3 linked regions of the Caenorhabditis elegans genome follow. The protein of the gene in region 2 interacts with the protein of the main gene of each other region in a biochemical or structural test. Each region holds a gene or a part of one and is shown on either strand. Other genes may lie near its edges.

Evidence for each region. Proteins that work in one complex are often made in the same cells at the same time.
Region 1: the proteins of ubc-9 (region 2) and arl-13 form a complex in vitro, tested with the Caenorhabditis elegans proteins (one study listed by BioGRID).
Region 3: of the proteins of ubc-9 (region 2) and gei-17, one has a biochemical effect on the other in vitro, tested with the Caenorhabditis elegans proteins (one study listed by BioGRID).

What each region holds. Positions count from the first base shown.
Region 1 is NC_003279.8:2,063,965-2,069,620, reverse strand, and holds arl-13 (ADP-ribosylation factor-like protein 13B), read right to left. Parts: upstream 3,904-5,656; 5' UTR 3,873-3,903; coding exon 3,805-3,872; intron 2,918-3,804; coding exon 2,847-2,917; intron 2,787-2,846; coding exon 2,650-2,786; intron 2,446-2,649; coding exon 2,383-2,445; intron 1,584-2,382; coding exon 1,476-1,583; intron 1,377-1,475; coding exon 1,311-1,376; intron 1,265-1,310; coding exon 1,169-1,264; intron 1,117-1,168; coding exon 794-1,116; exon of another isoform or gene 753-793; coding exon 572-752; 3' UTR 527-571; downstream 1-526. Other genes in the region: rplp-1 (Large ribosomal subunit protein P1), read left to right, coding at 108-278, 328-492; moag-4 (Modifier of protein aggregation 4), read right to left, coding at 4,242-4,388, 4,452-4,553; rpb-10 (DNA-directed RNA polymerases I, II, and III subunit RPABC5), read right to left, coding at 5,062-5,171, 5,223-5,316. UniProt on the Caenorhabditis elegans protein: Cilium-specific protein required to control the microtubule-based, ciliary axoneme structure. Required for normal sensory cilium function. May act by maintaining the association between IFT subcomplexes A and B.
Region 2 is NC_003282.8:4,649,512-4,652,974, reverse strand, and holds ubc-9 (SUMO-conjugating enzyme UBC9), read right to left. Parts: upstream 1,932-3,463; 5' UTR 1,917-1,931; coding exon 1,863-1,916; intron 1,738-1,862; coding exon 1,615-1,737; intron 1,481-1,614; coding exon 1,390-1,480; intron 1,345-1,389; coding exon 1,191-1,344; intron 1,135-1,190; coding exon 1,056-1,134; 3' UTR 528-1,055; downstream 1-527. Other genes in the region: F29B9.5 (Thioredoxin domain-containing protein), read right to left, coding at 1-66, 121-266, 321-386, 436-516; F29B9.7 (Pheromone-regulated membrane protein 10), read right to left, coding at 2,372-2,435, 2,483-2,596, 2,698-2,781, 2,831-2,908, 2,975-3,121, 3,171-3,211. UniProt on the Caenorhabditis elegans protein: Accepts the ubiquitin-like protein smo-1 from the aos-1-uba-2 E1 complex and catalyzes its covalent attachment to other proteins with the help of an E3 ligase such as gei-17.
Region 3 is NC_003279.8:9,101,557-9,109,341, forward strand, and holds the start of gei-17 (E3 SUMO-protein ligase gei-17), read right to left. Parts: upstream 6,027-7,785; 5' UTR 5,984-6,026; coding exon 5,912-5,983; intron 5,787-5,911; coding exon 5,751-5,786; intron 5,669-5,750; coding exon 5,555-5,668; intron 5,476-5,554; coding exon 5,446-5,475; exon of another isoform or gene 5,432-5,445; intron 5,142-5,431; exon of another isoform or gene 5,044-5,141; intron 4,764-5,043; exon of another isoform or gene 4,551-4,763; intron 4,505-4,550; coding exon 4,139-4,504; intron 3,469-4,138; coding exon 3,343-3,468; intron 3,287-3,342; coding exon 3,192-3,286; intron 3,147-3,191; coding exon 3,050-3,146; intron 2,966-3,049; coding exon 2,493-2,965; intron 1,757-2,492; coding exon 1,443-1,756; intron 1,342-1,442; coding exon 1,085-1,341; intron 847-1,084; coding exon 709-846; intron 448-708; coding exon 282-447; intron 117-281; coding exon of another isoform or gene 1-116. Other genes in the region: nduf-7 (putative NADH dehydrogenase [ubiquinone] iron-sulfur protein 7, mitochondrial), read right to left, coding at 6,882-6,959. UniProt on the Caenorhabditis elegans protein: Functions as an E3-type smo-1 ligase. Mediates smo-1 conjugation to air-2 in vitro and is required for proper chromosome alignment.

The sequences.
Region 1 (5,656 bases), on a different chromosome or scaffold from region 2:
GTTTTCTTACCCTGGTCACTTTGTGGCATTAATACTTTCTTTCAGCGTTCTATCAAACGTTTGTTCTCTTTGGAGCTAAGGCAAACCGCGCAACTTACGATTGAAGAATGGCTTCGAACCAAGAACTGGCTTGCGTCTACGCTGCTCTCATCCTTCAAGATGACGAGGTCGCCATCACCGGCGAGAAGATCGCTACCCTTCTCAAGGCCGCCAACGTCGAGTTCGAGCCATACTGGCCAGGACTCTTCGCCAAGGCTCTCGAGGGAGTTGATGTGAAGGTAAGGATTTCTCATAAGTATATTCAAGTTTCACCCCGATTGTTTTCAGAACCTCATCACTTCTGTCTCTTCCGGAGCCGGATCTGGACCAGCTCCAGCCGCCGCCGCTGCTGCTCCAGCTGCTGGAGGAGCCGCCCCAGCTGCCGAGACCAAGAAGAAGGAGGAGCCAAAGGAGGAATCCGATGACGACATGGGCTTCGGTCTCTTCGACTAAAGATCTTGTTATTTGTTTTCAATAAATCTGTTAACAACACCAAGAAAGTGTTTATGGCTTCAAAAGTGAAAAAAGGAGGTTATTTTGGCACTACTCGATTGTTCAGAACGTTTTGAATCCTTTGTATCCGGCTATATTGTCGACCAGGCGCTTTTGGTGGCAAGAAATAGTTGTCTTTCAGAATGATAGTTGGCTCTTCTTTAACACTGTTAGATTCCGGCGAAACAGGCTTCGTGCTTGTTTGTGAGATTCTGCAAAAACTGAAACAATCGGATTTCTCAAGTAAATTAATGTGACTCACTTTACAGGATCTCGTGGAGTTCCTGTTTCAGGCGTGCTCTGAATGATATCTGATGGTATTGTCGAGCTGGCAAGCGACATCGGCGGACTTTCTTCAATATGAACCGACGCGGACTTCGGATCCGATGGAGGATCAGGCGGGATCGGTGGTTGCACAGGTGGTTGGTTCCGAAGTTCCAGGCCAGCCACGTCGGCTTTCAAAGCATCGTGCTCCACTTTCATTTGCATCAGTCTCCGTTGTTCTTTGGCTTCTTCCTGACGGATCCTCAACGCCAACTCGGCGGTTTTAACACCCTCGGATAATTCCACATAGTGCTCAGAAATCTGAAAAAAAGGAAAATTTTAAAAATTCTAGAAAATGAAATGGGAATCCTACAGAATCGATGAATCTGACAAACTGCTCCTGATACTCATTTCTATCCTTTTTCGCCCTCGCCATCACCGTCAATGTGGCACTTTTTATGTTATCAAGCTGAAAATCGGTGGAATTTTGAATTTCTACCTTGAAGCGCACTCACATATCCGTTATACTTGTTGAAATGCGAGAAAAGTACGATTTTGTGTTGTCCCGCCTGGATTTTAGTCTGTGAAAAGAGGTTTGCGTGATAGAGAAGGAACACTGGGGGATGAAGAAGACGGGGACAGTTTACGGGAAATTATTTAAGTCACTCAAAGTCACTCACTTCATTCGAAATTTCCACGTCATCAAATTCTCGATTGTTCTGATTGTTGAGGAGCAGAAAAATTGGCTTTTTCTGCACATGTGGATTGCTGGTTAGGGAGTGGAGAGCCTGGAGAATGATAATTTTTTAAAAGTAATTTATTACCGAGACTTGAAATTTTGACCGAAAATACGGTATCCGGTCTCGACACGACAAATTTCTGTGAAATGCGAAAAGGTGTGCGCCTTTAAAGATTACTGTGGTTTTAAACGTTCTTTGCCCGATTTTTCATAGTTTTTCGAAAATATATGTGGTTTTAATTGTTTTATCACGAATTTCTGGCTTCCCTAGGAATTAATGGAATTTCCTCATAAATTGAAATGGAAGAGTTTGCCGAACTAGGCCAGTTTGGCTCGGCCATATCTGGGGTGGATCTACGGCGCGTTGCGTGTCGCATCGCGGCTCGGTTTTAGTTGTAAAACTACCGTATTTTTTCTATTAATATAGCTGCAATACTATTTTTCGATGGTCTTCCCGCTTGCAATACTAATAGGGAGTGCAAGACTATTAGGGAGTGCAATATTACACTCAAGATAAGAAAACTGCGTGGCGTGTACTGCAGAAAACCTCATATTTAGGCCCCGCCTTTTTCACTAATAGGGAGTGCAATACTAATTTTCGGAGGGTGTTCAAGGAGCAATACTAATAGGGAGTGCAAGTCTAATAGGGAGGCCATATTAATAGAAGAAATACGGTAAATGAAATTACTGTACTTTTGCCTAAAAATTTTTAAAGGAGCACACCCGTTTTAGTTTTTTGCAAAAAGTTGTCGTGTCGAGACCGGATAGCGTATTTTGAGCCTAAAAATCTTATTTCATAACTTTTAGGAATAATTCATAATCCTTATCAATTTCGTAACTTCTCTCACCTCAATCGACTCGGTGAATGTCTCATCCGTTGAATAATCAATCACATAGATGATTCCGTGAACCTTAATTTATTTAGAATAATTATAATAATCACGGTTTGATCTACAAAAATGCGGGAATTTTTCTCCCAAAAAAATGTGACGTCAAAACGCTCTTAACCATGCGAAATCAGTCCCGCATTTTTTGTAGATCCACGTGTAATAAGAGTTTTCAAAAATTCTCCAGTGTGAAAGTGCGCCCTATCGCATGCACACACACACACACACCTCAGCATAATAATTGCTCCAAATTCCACGTATTCCCTTATCCCCGCCAACATCGTAGATCGTCAAATGAAAAGTCTCATCATACTCCATTTTCACTGTGGAGAACCCGTTGGTACGGAGCAAATCCCGCGGATCTTCTGGATTAAATTCAAATTTTAAAATAATTTCGGATTGAGCGACGGAGCGCACTTGCTTACCTCCCTTGAGAACTTTCAAAAATGTGGTTTTTCCGGCGCTTCCGATGCCAAAACATCCGAGTTTGATTTCTCTGAAAAAAAACCTATTGGGTCTCGGCACGATCTATGGGAATTCATCAAACTAAAAATATTGCTCAGATGCGGAAACTTGCGGATTTGCGTCTCGACACGACAATTTTTGTAAATTGCAAAACGGTGTGCGCCTTTAAAGAGTACTGTAATTTCTGGGTTTCGTTGATGTGTAATTCTCATGTGGGAAAATTGCTTTAAAACACGCATATGGCGTCACAATGACCGAATATCATGATAAAAAAATTCAAAAATTTTTTCTAGATTTTATATGATTTTTTGAAAATTGAAAAAATCTCAGTTTTCCCCTAATTCCTATTTGAATTTCCGCCAATTGAACTTGTTCGATGGAGCGCACTTGCATTATTTTTATTTATTTATTTTATTTTTCTTATTTTTCGGCCTATTTTCTTCATTTTTTTGTGTTTTTTATCGGAAAATGCGAGAAATAAACTAGAAAAATGCAAAATGCTTGTTAAAAAGTAACTGAAAATGCCTAAAACTGTAAAATATACTAATTTCAGGCTTGTCGTCGGAAATCATAATTTTACAGTTTTACGCCTTTTCAATTATTTTTTAACAAACATTCTGCAATTACCTTGTTTTGTCATTTTAATTTCCATTAAAAACGCAAAAAAAAAGAAAATCAGTGGAGAATAAATAAAATAAATGAATAAAAATAATTTTTAATATATTTTCATGGCAAAAATCGATCGGAAAATATTAAAAATAGCTGAATTTTCGACTTTAAATATAATTTTTTTTCCAAAAAACCTCGAATAAGGAAACATTTTTGGATTTTCCGTTTTACATCTTCAAAATTTCATAAAAAATGCTTTCAAGCAAACGATTTTCATTTAAAAAAATAAGCCTAAGAATATCGAATTACCGTCTGATAATAGGTGTACGATGGCAACAACAGCAGAAAATAGTTTCGAACCACGACTTTTCGGTCATTTCTTCTCACTTTCTACGCATTTCCTTGCGGTAAAGTGTGTGGTGTCGAAATCGAGGAGATTAGTTACGCAAGAAGTTGCTCTCGGCTTTCACGAGCGGCGGTTGCCATAGTTACCAGAGCCCGAGAGAGCACAAGAATTGTGGAGAGAAGCCGCGGGGTGGGAGGAAGAGATGAGGTGAGGCGGCGGCCGAAGAAGACAATCAGAAACTGGCTCTGATAATGATTAGGTTGGCGAGCTGCCAAGTGATCATACATTTTTCAGGAGAAGGAGACAGAGGCATTCATTTTTTTGGGAAACCCATACGATGTTTTTTTAAATACGAATAAAATAAAACAAAAATGATCAAAAAAAAGTGAGAATTAATCAATCACATCTTCAATGGGTCCACTTTGGCGACCTTCTTTGCGTTTGCAGCAGCTGCAGCGGCTTCGGCTTCTTTCTTGGCTGCCGCTTTCTCCTGCTTGATACGCATGACGTCAGCGTCGCGATTCATGCGAGCATCCATCGATAGACCCTGGAATATTTATTTGCAACTGGATATATATATGTGATTTGGAAATTTGAAATGAAAACTTACAGCATTTCCGTCTTGTCCAGAGGCTCCCTGGCGCTTCTTTTGATCGGCCAGTTTCTTTTGGTTCTTCTCACGAGCCAGATCTCTTTGATTTCCACGAGTCATTTTTGTTGGAGTTGTGCTGCTCAAAAACTGTGTTTCTCGGATCACACCGGAGCGCCGTCAGCGATGGACAAAGCCGCCGTATACGAGGTTTTCTGGAAGAAAAAAACAAAGAATCGATAAGAAAGTGTCGTGAACGCAGACCGTCTCGGTGACATAAATGACCGAGATTAGGAAATGCGCGGGATAAATGAGAGACGTCAGAATGATAGACAGTCTGACTAGCGGACACGTGGAACTTTTTGAAGGAAAACTTGTGGAAGGAGGTGTAGTTTAGGAAATTCTCAAATTCTCGCAAAATAATCACATCACATGGACAAATAAAGAATGAGCTGTGAACTCAATTATACAATATGACAAAAATTAAATTTAAAAAGCAAACTTGAATCAAATGTTTCATCAAATTTTGAGAAATTAGTGAAGAAAAAGAGGAAAAACGGTGGAAAAAAGTAAAAATTGAGATTCGGCCACAACAAAACAGAAAAACAACAACAATTGAAAGGGGCTCCGATTACTTTTCCAGCGGATGGTAGTTGAGAAGCTTCTCGATGAGATCCACGTGAGCCAGAAGCATTCTTCGGCAACAGTAGCGACGAAGACCGAGCGCGTCGAGAGCATCTCCTGAGAGAAACGAGATTTTTTTCATTCAGTAAATCCGAGAATTTTAAAAACCTTCACTGTATTCCGACTGCAAGAATCCGAGATACGTCTCCCACTTGTCGCCGATGACTTTGCCGCATGTGAAGCATCTGATTGGGATAATCATCTTGTGATTTTGCTGAAATTTTCGAAAATTGAAGATGAAAACTGCACTTTTTCGAGATTTTTGGTGAAGTTTTGAACGAAACACTTTTGCCACAAGCTAATTGTAAAGTTTTTGAAGAGAAACTTCAAGAAAATCAAGTTAAATCACAAAAAATGGGGGCAGAAATTCTAGAAATTGAAAATTGTTCAAAATACGCAATGCGCGTGAAATATGGTGTTTTCAGTGCATTTGTCACAGCGGTGTTTGCACAGTTGTCGACCGTAGTTGCAGCAAAGATTTTAAAATTGGTTTTCCAATTTTCTTTTCGAATTTTTTTGTTTCAAGATCGAATTGCAAATTA
Region 2 (3,463 bases):
TTGCCGGCTGCGTTGATCACTCGGAGCACTGGGATCGTCTTGATCTCGAACTTTGATTGATATCGTCTGAAAATTATGATTTATTTTTGAGACTCTGAAATTAAAAATGATAAATCTCACGTCAAAATGTCGTCTCCATACTTGACGCAGAGCCAATCGCCGTGCTTCTCGGTGAAGTTCTCTTCAAGATCAGCCTTTGATCTATCACGAGAGAAGAAAACCACTTCGATGGGCTTTCCAGCCTTCTTCAGATGATGGTAGAAGCGCTGAAGGGTGTGGAAACTCATTGGAAAATCGGAAAATCTAGATTCAGCACTCACAACTAGCTTCGGAGTGAACTGCTTACACGGTGGACACCATCCCGCGGAAAAATAAAGAGCAACAACCTAAATGTCATATTCTAAAATCTTTCACTACACACTAATATTTCGCCACCTTGCCCTTCAGAGCTTCTTCGGCAGGAACTTCAGTCAAGTCTTGCTTCAGAAGCATCACACCTTTCATGAATTCGGACATTGTTGGAGAATCTGACATGAACAGTTCATGGTTGAGTTGCAAAATACAAATAAGTTGAGGGAAAAAAAATATAATCAAGTCCATTTAGAAAATTGGAATACACGGGATTTGTCAACAATTAAATTGTGCTCCTGATTTTAAGAGAATTGGGGGGAAGAGAAAAGAGATGGAAAACAGAACGGGATAAAAAGAAAGATGAAGATCAAAATGAGTAAGAATGATGAGGAATAGTCTTTTGAAAGAATAAAGACTACTCAGCCCATGGACCAGTGGAAAATGATTGGGTTTGCGTGCACACGAAATTTGGAAAAAGTCATCGAAATGTTCTAGCTCTCGAATTTCATCAACCACGAAATGAAAAACCAGGCACGACAAAGCTTTTGGTTAGATTGAAATAAAAGATATCAGAAAAGTTGCTTCGGTGCTCGAATTTCGAGTTGTGTCAACAATCGTTGCCGCATACAGAAATAGTTAACTAAATGAAATGAGGATGGGAGGAAAAAGGAGAATAGAATAGACGACTACCACGAAGCAAGCATCTACTCGAGCATTTGCTTCTGGACGAGTTCGGCAGCATACTTCACAGCTTCCTTCTTCACTCGCTTCTCATATTCAGCCCTGTAATAAATTCATTTGTGTATTTTTTTTATAATATTCAGATAAAAAAAACTCACCTATTCTGACAGTAGATCTGATAGGCTTCAGCCTGAGCTGGATCTTCAATATTTGGATGGTTCAGCAAATCTTGAATTCCAATGAGAAGTTGCTTGATTGAGATTGACGGCTTCCAATCCTTGTTTTCATCCAGAAGAGATAAGCACACGGTACCTGAATTCAATTAATTAATTATAACTATTGGACTGCAATAATAACCTGATGGGTACACATTTGGATGGAAGAGTGGTGGCTCGAACTTGCACTTTGGTGGCGTTGACGGGAAATCGTCCTTGAAGAGCATCCGAATCTGAAAGAAAATTGAATTAGATTTATAAATATCGTTGTATTCCAAATAGCAGTTTTTGAGAGAAACAGTTCACGAATATTATAGCTCAATAAATTAACGAAAAATGATAATTTCCGAATTCTAGCTTCACATACTCTGTATAATCCGCCTTCCCAAATCGTATCCTTTCTCCCTGGGATTGCACATTCCCAATTGAAGAGGTTCAATGTTCCGTCGGCGTTCTTGACTGGTTTGGCAATGAATCCGAATGGATGATCCTGAAAATGTTGAGTTTTGGGCATGAAAACAAACTATTTTTCGATAATTTTTAGAATTTAACCGATTTAAAGCGGTTTTGTAATACAAATCGCCCCGACTTGCCATGTAATGATAAAATTCTCACCTTTCGCCAGTGTTTCCTTTCTTCCGCGAGGCGTCCTGCAGCAATTCCCGACATTTTTGTTCGGTTACACTGAAAAATATCAAATTTGTAAAAGAGAAGTGGACAGTGAAGTTTTAGGCACAACGAGAAAAGAAGAGAGAGGTAAACAAACGAAACAGCGTGTTCGTGACACTTGTCAGAACTATTTTAGATTTTTCAAACAGAAATCCGATCGATAAGAAAGAGAAATTTCTCGAAAAAGTTCAAAAATAGGATATCGCGCCAAAAAACGAAAAGGGGGGCGAGCACCGCCCGTATTATCGATCAATAAATTGCATAGTGCGGCGCGCGATTTCGCAATGGTGTCGCACACGAAAACTAATTTCGACAGAATGCAACAGAAAATTACAAAACGGTTCGCAGTTTTCGCGCGCACACAAAAGAATATTCAAGAAAATTATAAATTCGAAGGGCGCGAAATTCAAATAATATTTATTCGCGGCAAAATGTGTGAGAATGAGAGTGCCCAGTCAGTCATCCTTCTTCAAAACCTCTCCTTCCTTGCGCTCTTTCGTCGGCGAACGACTTCCGGGGCTGCAAAAATGATAACGTTTTCAAAAAATAAAAAACTTTTTTCTCACTCATCAGGCGTTCTCTCCATGTCCGGATTGTTCGAAGGTCCCGTGCATCCATAATAGTACGGCTTGTATCTTCCTCCGAACAACCAGTCCATGTCGTATAACGGAATGTATTCTCTGAATTAGAAAGTTGGAAATTTAATTATTTTAAGTGTCAAAATATATGCCTATATATAGGATATATATACAATAGGTGATTTTCTAGAATTCAGATGTACCTGTGATCTCTCATAACGGTCGAATAGTTGATTGTTGCTTTCAGATTTGGACTCAAAAGTCCACCGTATATCCTATTCCATTCTCTAGAAAATGTTCCAATTAGATCTATTTTTCTTGATGAACAAAGCCAACCTAGTTACTAGAATGATCACCAAAGAGAGAGTAGAACCGAAAAATGGAAAACTACGAACTAGAATTGAAGCTGCGAATCTGGAATAAAATTTTATTTTGGTTTTCCATTATTGTTTAATTGTAGAAAATAGCTAGTGAGCTCACAGAGAACAAATCGCAGAGCTCAAGAAAAGCAACGATGACAAAAACAATTGATTAGGTGGTTCGTCTGTTGCTGTACTCTTTGTAGTTGACTCACTACCATCAAGCAATTCCGTAGTGTAATCAGCCATATTTGTATGCACAAATTTGCTTCAAAGAGTCAAAAATTTAAATTTATAAATAAAAATTAAAAACTCACTTGTCTTCCGGAAACTCTATAACACCACTTTTCGAACTCATCGTAAAAATAAGAATGATTTAAATTTGAAAAAAATTTATTCATTTTTTAATTGTAAGGCAAGGCACATATGGAACGTGTAAAACGTGTACTATTTATCACAATTTCTGAGAGAGCGATATTTCCGATTTGAAAAAAAACAAAACAAAGAAAAAACGAAGGAGCACCGGGCTTCTGAGGGGGCGCCCAATGGCACAGGGGTTTAGAATTATGGCGCAAAAAAGAAGAGTTGGAAGCAATAATTACAGAAAAAA
Region 3 (7,785 bases), on a different chromosome or scaffold from region 2:
CATAGTGACTCCTGAGTGATCGATCATCAGGTGTCCATTTACCAAAAGTCGAGATGCATTTGCTTGTATTTCAGCCATGGAAAGAATTCGTGGTGGTTGGATGTTATTGGTGTCACCTGAAAGTGAGGCCAAACCAAGTAAGGGAAATAAATATATATTTGCATGCAGGATGGTTGCAATTACACAACAAGTTTACTCGCTATTAACTGAAGATCGTGAAGTGATTGTTTTGATGTTTAAACATAATATACAAAAACTTTGTAAGGTGTACAAAAAATTACCGTTTGACATTTGCTGTTGAGCATAAAAAGACGGAGACATGATTTGTGGTGACTGCTGCTGCTGTTGTTGCTGCTGAAGATGGTGCTGCTGCATATGAACCATTTGATTGTTTCGCCCTATGAGCCCGTTTTGCATTTGGAAGTGTGGTGCCTGGTTTATCATTGGCTGAAAACGAGAGTTCAATTTTTAAAAAATTTTGAAAAATATTTGTTAAGTTTATAATTCCAGACGTAAAACTAGTGCATTTTTTTCAATTCGACAGAATTCTAGTGCAGTGGACAATCATCTAAGTATCTTATCCAATTAATAGGGGCTTGAACAAAGAAAAAAAAGAGATTAAAACAGGATTTTTTTGTTCTGTCGTTATGAAAAAATATCACTAGAGTATTAGTGCGTGTGGTAGACTATTAACACGTGCTGGCATACCGAATATCCGTATTGTGATGTAGGTGTTTGAGATCCTGAAGAGGGATTCATATAAGATGATTGAGCAAAATTCAATGGATGTGTCGTATGGTGAAGTTGAACAAGCGGAGATGATTGTGTTGATGAATTTGCTGACTGCTGCAACAAACAGACAGTTTAGTGAGTGTGGACAGGGAGAAGCAGATGTTAGTTTAACAATATCATATAATAATATAATCAAATATATAATTCAATCTTTGTATTAGTTTTGGTTAAAAACGGATAAGTTATAACTAGAATACTGATTTCAGTCAAATTAAGAACAAATCCTCTTAAAACTATGGAAAATAACTAACAATATTGGCTCTTTTGAAGATTTGTGTTTTTCTGAACTTACTTCTCCTATTTTGTTCAGCGCATCCCGGATAGTTTTACTTGCACCCTCGTTCATTCCCATTTGCGTTGAGGCCATTCCAGATGGAGATGAGCCAACTGGCATTTGATTCTGTTGAGACATCTGACGCATTGGAAGATTTGCACTTGCAGCTACTGGACGAGGTGGTGTATCATCGAGAGTAATAATCTCTATGTCATCGTCTTTCGTCTTCTTTTTCTGCTGTGGTGGTGTCTTTTGAGCAGCCAATTCTGCGGAAGCTGAAATAAGATTTGAATTTCAAGTGAATACTTTTAATTGATATTGCTAGAAACTGCAATATTCTCAGCTTGTCTCACACCACGCCATTTGAATAGCAAACCTGTGTGTCTGCCAGGAGAGAAGCTGTCGTTCAGAGAGTTCATTATACCTCTGTTCAATTCCTCATCATCGTCATCACTCAAGGTAATTATGTCGTCGTCAGCTGGTTTTTTCTTCGCTGCTTCATTTGCAAGTCCATTGCCATTTGTCGAAGAGCATGACGCTGTACCGTTAACAGTAGCAGGTACAACGTCATCGTCGTCATCATCTGAGATGCAAAAAGCTTCTTCCTTGATAACATCGTACGAGCCATCTTCCTTAAGTTCAACTTCCGTCGTATTCTTATCCACCTTTGCAAGCATATCGAGGAAATAACTGAAAGATGAAACAATATTTGCATAGTCTCAGAACATTGCTTTTTATTTTGATATTTGAATATTTCTTAAATAAAATGTTGAATTGGGTAACGTCTAAGCAGTTTCTCAGGCATTTCCGTGACTAAAAAGTATTTTCCAATTAAGAAAACGAGCGAATAGTGCGAACAGACAGCTTCACACAAAACTGCATGAAGTTAGCCATCGAATTTGTTGTTTGTCCATGATGCACTGTTCACAATATGAATCTGGATCATGGTAAACATAAGAGTGAGAACACTATTTGGATTATTAATTGATTGAGAATTATTTACAGGGATTTTGAATTTCTGAATAATAATAATTTTCAATTACACATTAAAACTCTTGCTCAATTATGATGATTGACCTTTGCCATTTGTTTCATGTTCTCTTACGTCATGAGCTGAATTTTGAGTTGGAGACCAATACGAACTACTGATAATAATCGTAGACTATATTTGCAAATACATGCCTATTTTAGACGACGCGTTTCCGAATTTCCTAATCACCGTTTCATCATGGCTATTTTAAGGGTGTTGTCCATCGCTATAGATAACAATTGTGTTTGGAAAAATAATAGTGTCTTCACAAGAATTGGAAATTTCGAAGTGAGGGAACGGTATCTAAGAGTTAATAGAAAAATAATGAAAACATAGAATTGAGATAATTCGCTTTTTTTTAAAATCAAAGTTAGTCAGTGTGAATTGAAAACTTACTCATCAACAATAAGTCTATCATATGGGCAGTTACTCGAGCAAACAGGGCACTGCCACGTTGGTTTCTTCTCGTTCATCATCAAATATGAGAGGAGATCAAAACATTGCAAATGGGTACAATCTTGGCATCTAGAAGGCGTTGTCATTCTTGTCTTGCACAGTGGATCAAGAAGACTGATATTAAGACGATCCATAGCAATATCATCTTCACCTCCAGACAGTTTCTTGATCACTTCTTGCTTGGTAACCTCAAGTGATCGATGTCTTGATACATTCTGATTAAGACGTTTAAAGAGAATATCCGAGTTAACACGATGAACGAAATAAACTCCAGCTGCCCATACACGTTTGTCGGCTAACCATTCGACTGCAACTGTGTGCTCTTTCTTGTATCTATTCATGTTTGAAGTGATATTCACTGGACGAGATGGTCGTTTCGGCTCAGCATTTGTCTTATTTGTTGGGATTACATTCTGAAATTTGAAGAAATAGTAACTCCTAACAATAATTGATATTTTGAAATTAAATATATTTCGTGAACGTTTCAAATCTCATACCGGCAATTGAACGACAGAATCATCAACACGTGCGTAGCAATTGAGTGGAAAGTCGTCTTTTTGAGGACCCTGAACTGGTTCAGTAAGATTGAAGAACCTGAAAACAAGGATTTAAACCGATTTCAATGATAATAAAACGTACCTCAACTGCAATTCATATCGTGGAAGAGGTGTAACATCAGCTCGATACGAAATCTTGGAGATGTGCTCAGCAGTCAATAAGAACGGGAATTGTAACTGAAATTAGTAATTAATAGGTAACCGGCTTGGAGAGCGAGTAAATTGAGACCAACCTGTTTTGTTTGCTTCAAAGTTGGACTGTCTGATGAATGCAGCTCGACAGGCTTCAGCAAAACAGAAATAACATCGTAGAATGGAAGTGGAAGCGGTTCAAAATTATCAGCATACATTTTTTTCGGCTGAAAAAAAAATACATGGGTTAGACATGTGGGAATGTAAGAAAGAGACGCTGAAAGCAATTTTCAGGTGATAACATTGAACTCGTGTGAGCGAACTGTATAACACATGCCGCGCAATTTCTAATGATGCCTGCTTTTTGGTAGTAAAAAAACACTTTTACATGCTACTACGAACTAATTGGAAATAAAACTATTTGAAAATTGAGCACGGCAATATGAAGAAATGCCTAGAGAGGATTATCATATTAAGCTTTTCTTCATGAACATGCTCCTAAGAATGCCATACTGTAATATCTTAAAACCACACTTGTTCTAGTTTTTACGCCATTCGGAATCATGCAGAAAATTTCGTGATAACAGCGTGCAAATCTTGGAGCTTCGAATTTTTCTTTCTTTTTTTTGAATGCTACACGCAATTCAAAAAAGTGCATTCAATAAACGGTAGGACATTTGTTTGCATAATGTATCACGATTGAGGAATTTTCAAATAACCGCGACTGGCCAATATGATATATGTGCCCAGAAGAAGCTACCAGTGTAATTTTTTCAGGTAAATTTTCCGTTACGGTCATAAACCGAAAGTATATCTTCACATGCTTTCCGCCTCGATATTCTTGCGTTCATTCTTATCGTGAATTTCAGGCAATAAAAATGCGGCGAAAATGTTCACCCTATTTGATTTTTCCGACTTCTGCAAACTTTGCTGAGAAGAACGTCCATGATTAGGAAAAGATGAATGGAGCGGCGCGTTGGTAGCAGCAGCAGCAGCGGGAGCGCCGTATCTCATCGAGCCCCTCAGTTGCTCTTCGAGCAGTTCAGGAGTTAGCCATCTCACCGTCGACGGATGGTGCTGCTGTTGCAGATGTGAATGATGTGACGCCATCATTTGTTGATGAAGTAGATTGTGAGGCTGTGGTTGTTGTTGTTGTTGCTGCTGATAATGATGATTGACCAAGTGATTACTAGCTCCAGATCGAGATGGCAGCACATATGGATGAGACCGAACTTGGGATGTTGTTGCAGGTCGCTTCTGCATCTGACATTTTTTAATTTAGTTATTAAAACAGAAACGATTTACAAACAATTTTTTAGGCTCTAACTTTAAATATGTGGAATATTTTAGACAATTAGAACATTTGCAAAAATACATTTGGGAATAAAAAACAAAGCGGAAGAGATTTTTTGAACGTTTGTTTCTCAATAGAGCGCACATGTCATCAGGAGAGGTGCTTGCGAAGAAATGATATATATTGATAAACCTAGCCGTTTTTTTGGAGTTTTGATAACAGGACTTTCTTAAAATTTAGTAAAATTTCAATAATAAGCCAACTAAAAATTCGATTGATTTAAATAGTTACGCGCATTCGAATCAACTGTTGTGAAATAACAACAAAAAAAAAAACGATTCCCAGTTTCTCACGAGCGACATCGTGCCAATTCGCTTCCATATCGATTTTTCAAAGTGAAACAATTATTAAAAAACTCAAATACCTCTTTAGGAGTGAAAATTTGAATTTGATTTTCAAAAAAGTGTGACAGTATTCAAAAGAATCAATCTAGTAAAATAAAAATTGTAATGAAAAACTACGCGCCAAGCTACACGTATGAAACATGGAAAGAAGGTCAGGGCAAAGTACAACTAAGAAATTTTCGAAGATCCACTGCTTTTGAGGTTTTTAACACCTTATTACGGGCGAAAGTCCCGTTGCCGGAGCTGCGAGGAAGCAAGTGCAGAATGGATGAAATATTTGAGGAAACTTAGAGAAACAAAGGGCTACATATATGGTGGGTATGAGGATGCTAGTGGAGATAAATGCGAGACTTATTGTGTGAGTAAAGAGACAATACTAGGTGAATGAATAATTTCCTCCGAGGTAGAACACTGGTAAACGTTACCCAAAGTACCTCACACATCTATTTAATCAAAGTTGACATAGTTTTTTTTTAACTGAAAGTATTTAACTTTTTCATACTTACCTCATAATTTCCGTTCGGGAAATTGGAAGCCTGTAAACTCGAGAAAATTAATGCTGTAAAACATCATTTAAAAAAAAACATAAATAAAATAACGAGAAAAACAAATGACCATTTGATAAATTTGCCGAGCATGATGAGGATCACGCAAGGATTCAACGACGACCTTCTGATGCTCCGATTTTTGTGGACGTGGCTTTCGAAGTGACAATTGCGAGATAATCGACTGAAATTCATAAATTCTTGATTCACATCGCCTTCTCGTTGAGGTATTGAACAATAAAGATTGATTAAAAACGGTATCTAACCTGAAGATCGTGTACTCTCAATTTCATGACGGCTGCCTGAAAATTTGGAATCCATCAGTTTTACTTTTTGAAAAATAACAGATTGGAACAGAAAAATCCTTGGGTAAAATACAAGAATTTTAAACTATTTAATAAATGTCAATAATTTTCCAATAACTCACGTGTGCTGCCATATTTTCCTGATGTGTTAATCCATTGTTTATAGGTATTTGCCATTGATTATTCGGTAACATATTGATTTCAATACCTCCGATCCTCCGCTGTGTCTCGAAACGACGGAAAAATATAAAACTGCAGATTCGGAAAAGGGATATTAAGGCGAATTTGAATGGTCCAGTAGTGAAAATATCACAAACAAAAAGTAGAAAAATGTGATCTTTTCTATTCCCTAAAAAGCGTTTCGAAAAGCGCGGTTCCGTGTGGATTTCCCAATTTTGGAAGTTAATGGACCAAAATCGCGCAAAAAACACGGGCACACCTGATGAATCAGTTTTGCAAAATCCTGCAAAAAATATTTCAACGTACTCACGTTAACTCATTCAGGAAATCAATGAGATCAATGTGTACGATAGGTTTGTGCCCGTGACAAAGGATCAGCAATTTTCAGAAGAGGCGCCAGAAAATTTGTGTTTTTGAATTTGCGCAATACAATTTTCAATCCACACAGACTTTTTTTGTATTATTTTCAATCCAAAAACCAAATCCAAAAAAAAAAACTTGGCGGCGCTATAAAGTGCGTCGTGATCTCCTTTCAAATCACTATATAAAAATTCACAGACTTTGTGAAAATATGAATAAATAAATAAAAAGAGAACCACAAAGGGTCGGCGTTGTTAACCGTTCCAAAGAAAATGAGAGAAAAAAATAGAACTTTAAAAAAATGTTATCGACTTTTTTTCAACCAAAAAAAACATGAGGTAAAAATAGACACTATTCGAAAAAAAAAGTAAACCGCAGAAAAAAACGAACGAAACTATCGATATCAGATCTAGAAAAAAGAAAATGGAGAAAAGGTGGAGAAACACAAAAAATGAATGAAGTGGGGCTTACTCGTACAAAATGACCATTTTTCTGCGAATTTTTTCACAGTTCTCCAACTTTCTCGTACTTTCTTTTCGCCTCGTGTTCTGTTTAGCGTCTGTACCAAAGTTGAGCTTCTCGCTTACGCTTGATCTTCTTTTGAAGTTGGAGAACTCCGTATAGAAGAGCCTGGAATAATTTTTTATATTAAAATTATTTTCTTTATTAGACGAAACATATTTTCAGAAAAGACTGCAGGCTAGGAATATTTTTAAAGCTATTCAGATAATTTCACTAATTTAAAATGTATTAGAAATTCGCTGATACAGTCAGAATGTGATAAAGTATTTCGAAGAGCTAAAGATTTAAACAAAACACCAAGTTGTTGTTGCATTAGATACGGCAAAATATTCATTAGTGAATGCTTGAGAAACTAAGCAGAAATAGAGAAATAAAGACTCAATGGTATGCAAGAGAGCGTAGACAACACAAGACTTTCGCGCCAATTCGATCAATAATTGAGTACACATGCACCCACGTATTTTCGAAATATTTACAATCGGTCGTGGAGCGCGATTACATCATGCCGTCCTTAGCCCACCATTCTTAAATTGGGAAATTTTTTTCAAAAATCTTTTTCGGAAAAACCCGAAAAAAACAGTTTTGATAATGATGGGGTGTCGAGATTATAGTGAGGTACATATTATGACGTCATAGAATTATTAAAATTCATTTTTGAACATAGCAACACGCTTTTCTTGGAATATTTTCAGACATTAACTGAAACAAATTGTTACTCAATTAATGGAAAATGAGCCTGCACGAGATCTGGACACTCATTATCCTTAATTGAGCAGTCAGATTTTGAGTGCGTTTTTTGTGTAACAGGTGGACCAAATAAATATGGATAATGAGAGAAAATGAATTAGCTGTGGTGTGCTGATACGATAACGTGAGATCTAATACTGACATCAAGCCAGCCACTAAACAAACTCTAGACTCTCCAAAAAAGATT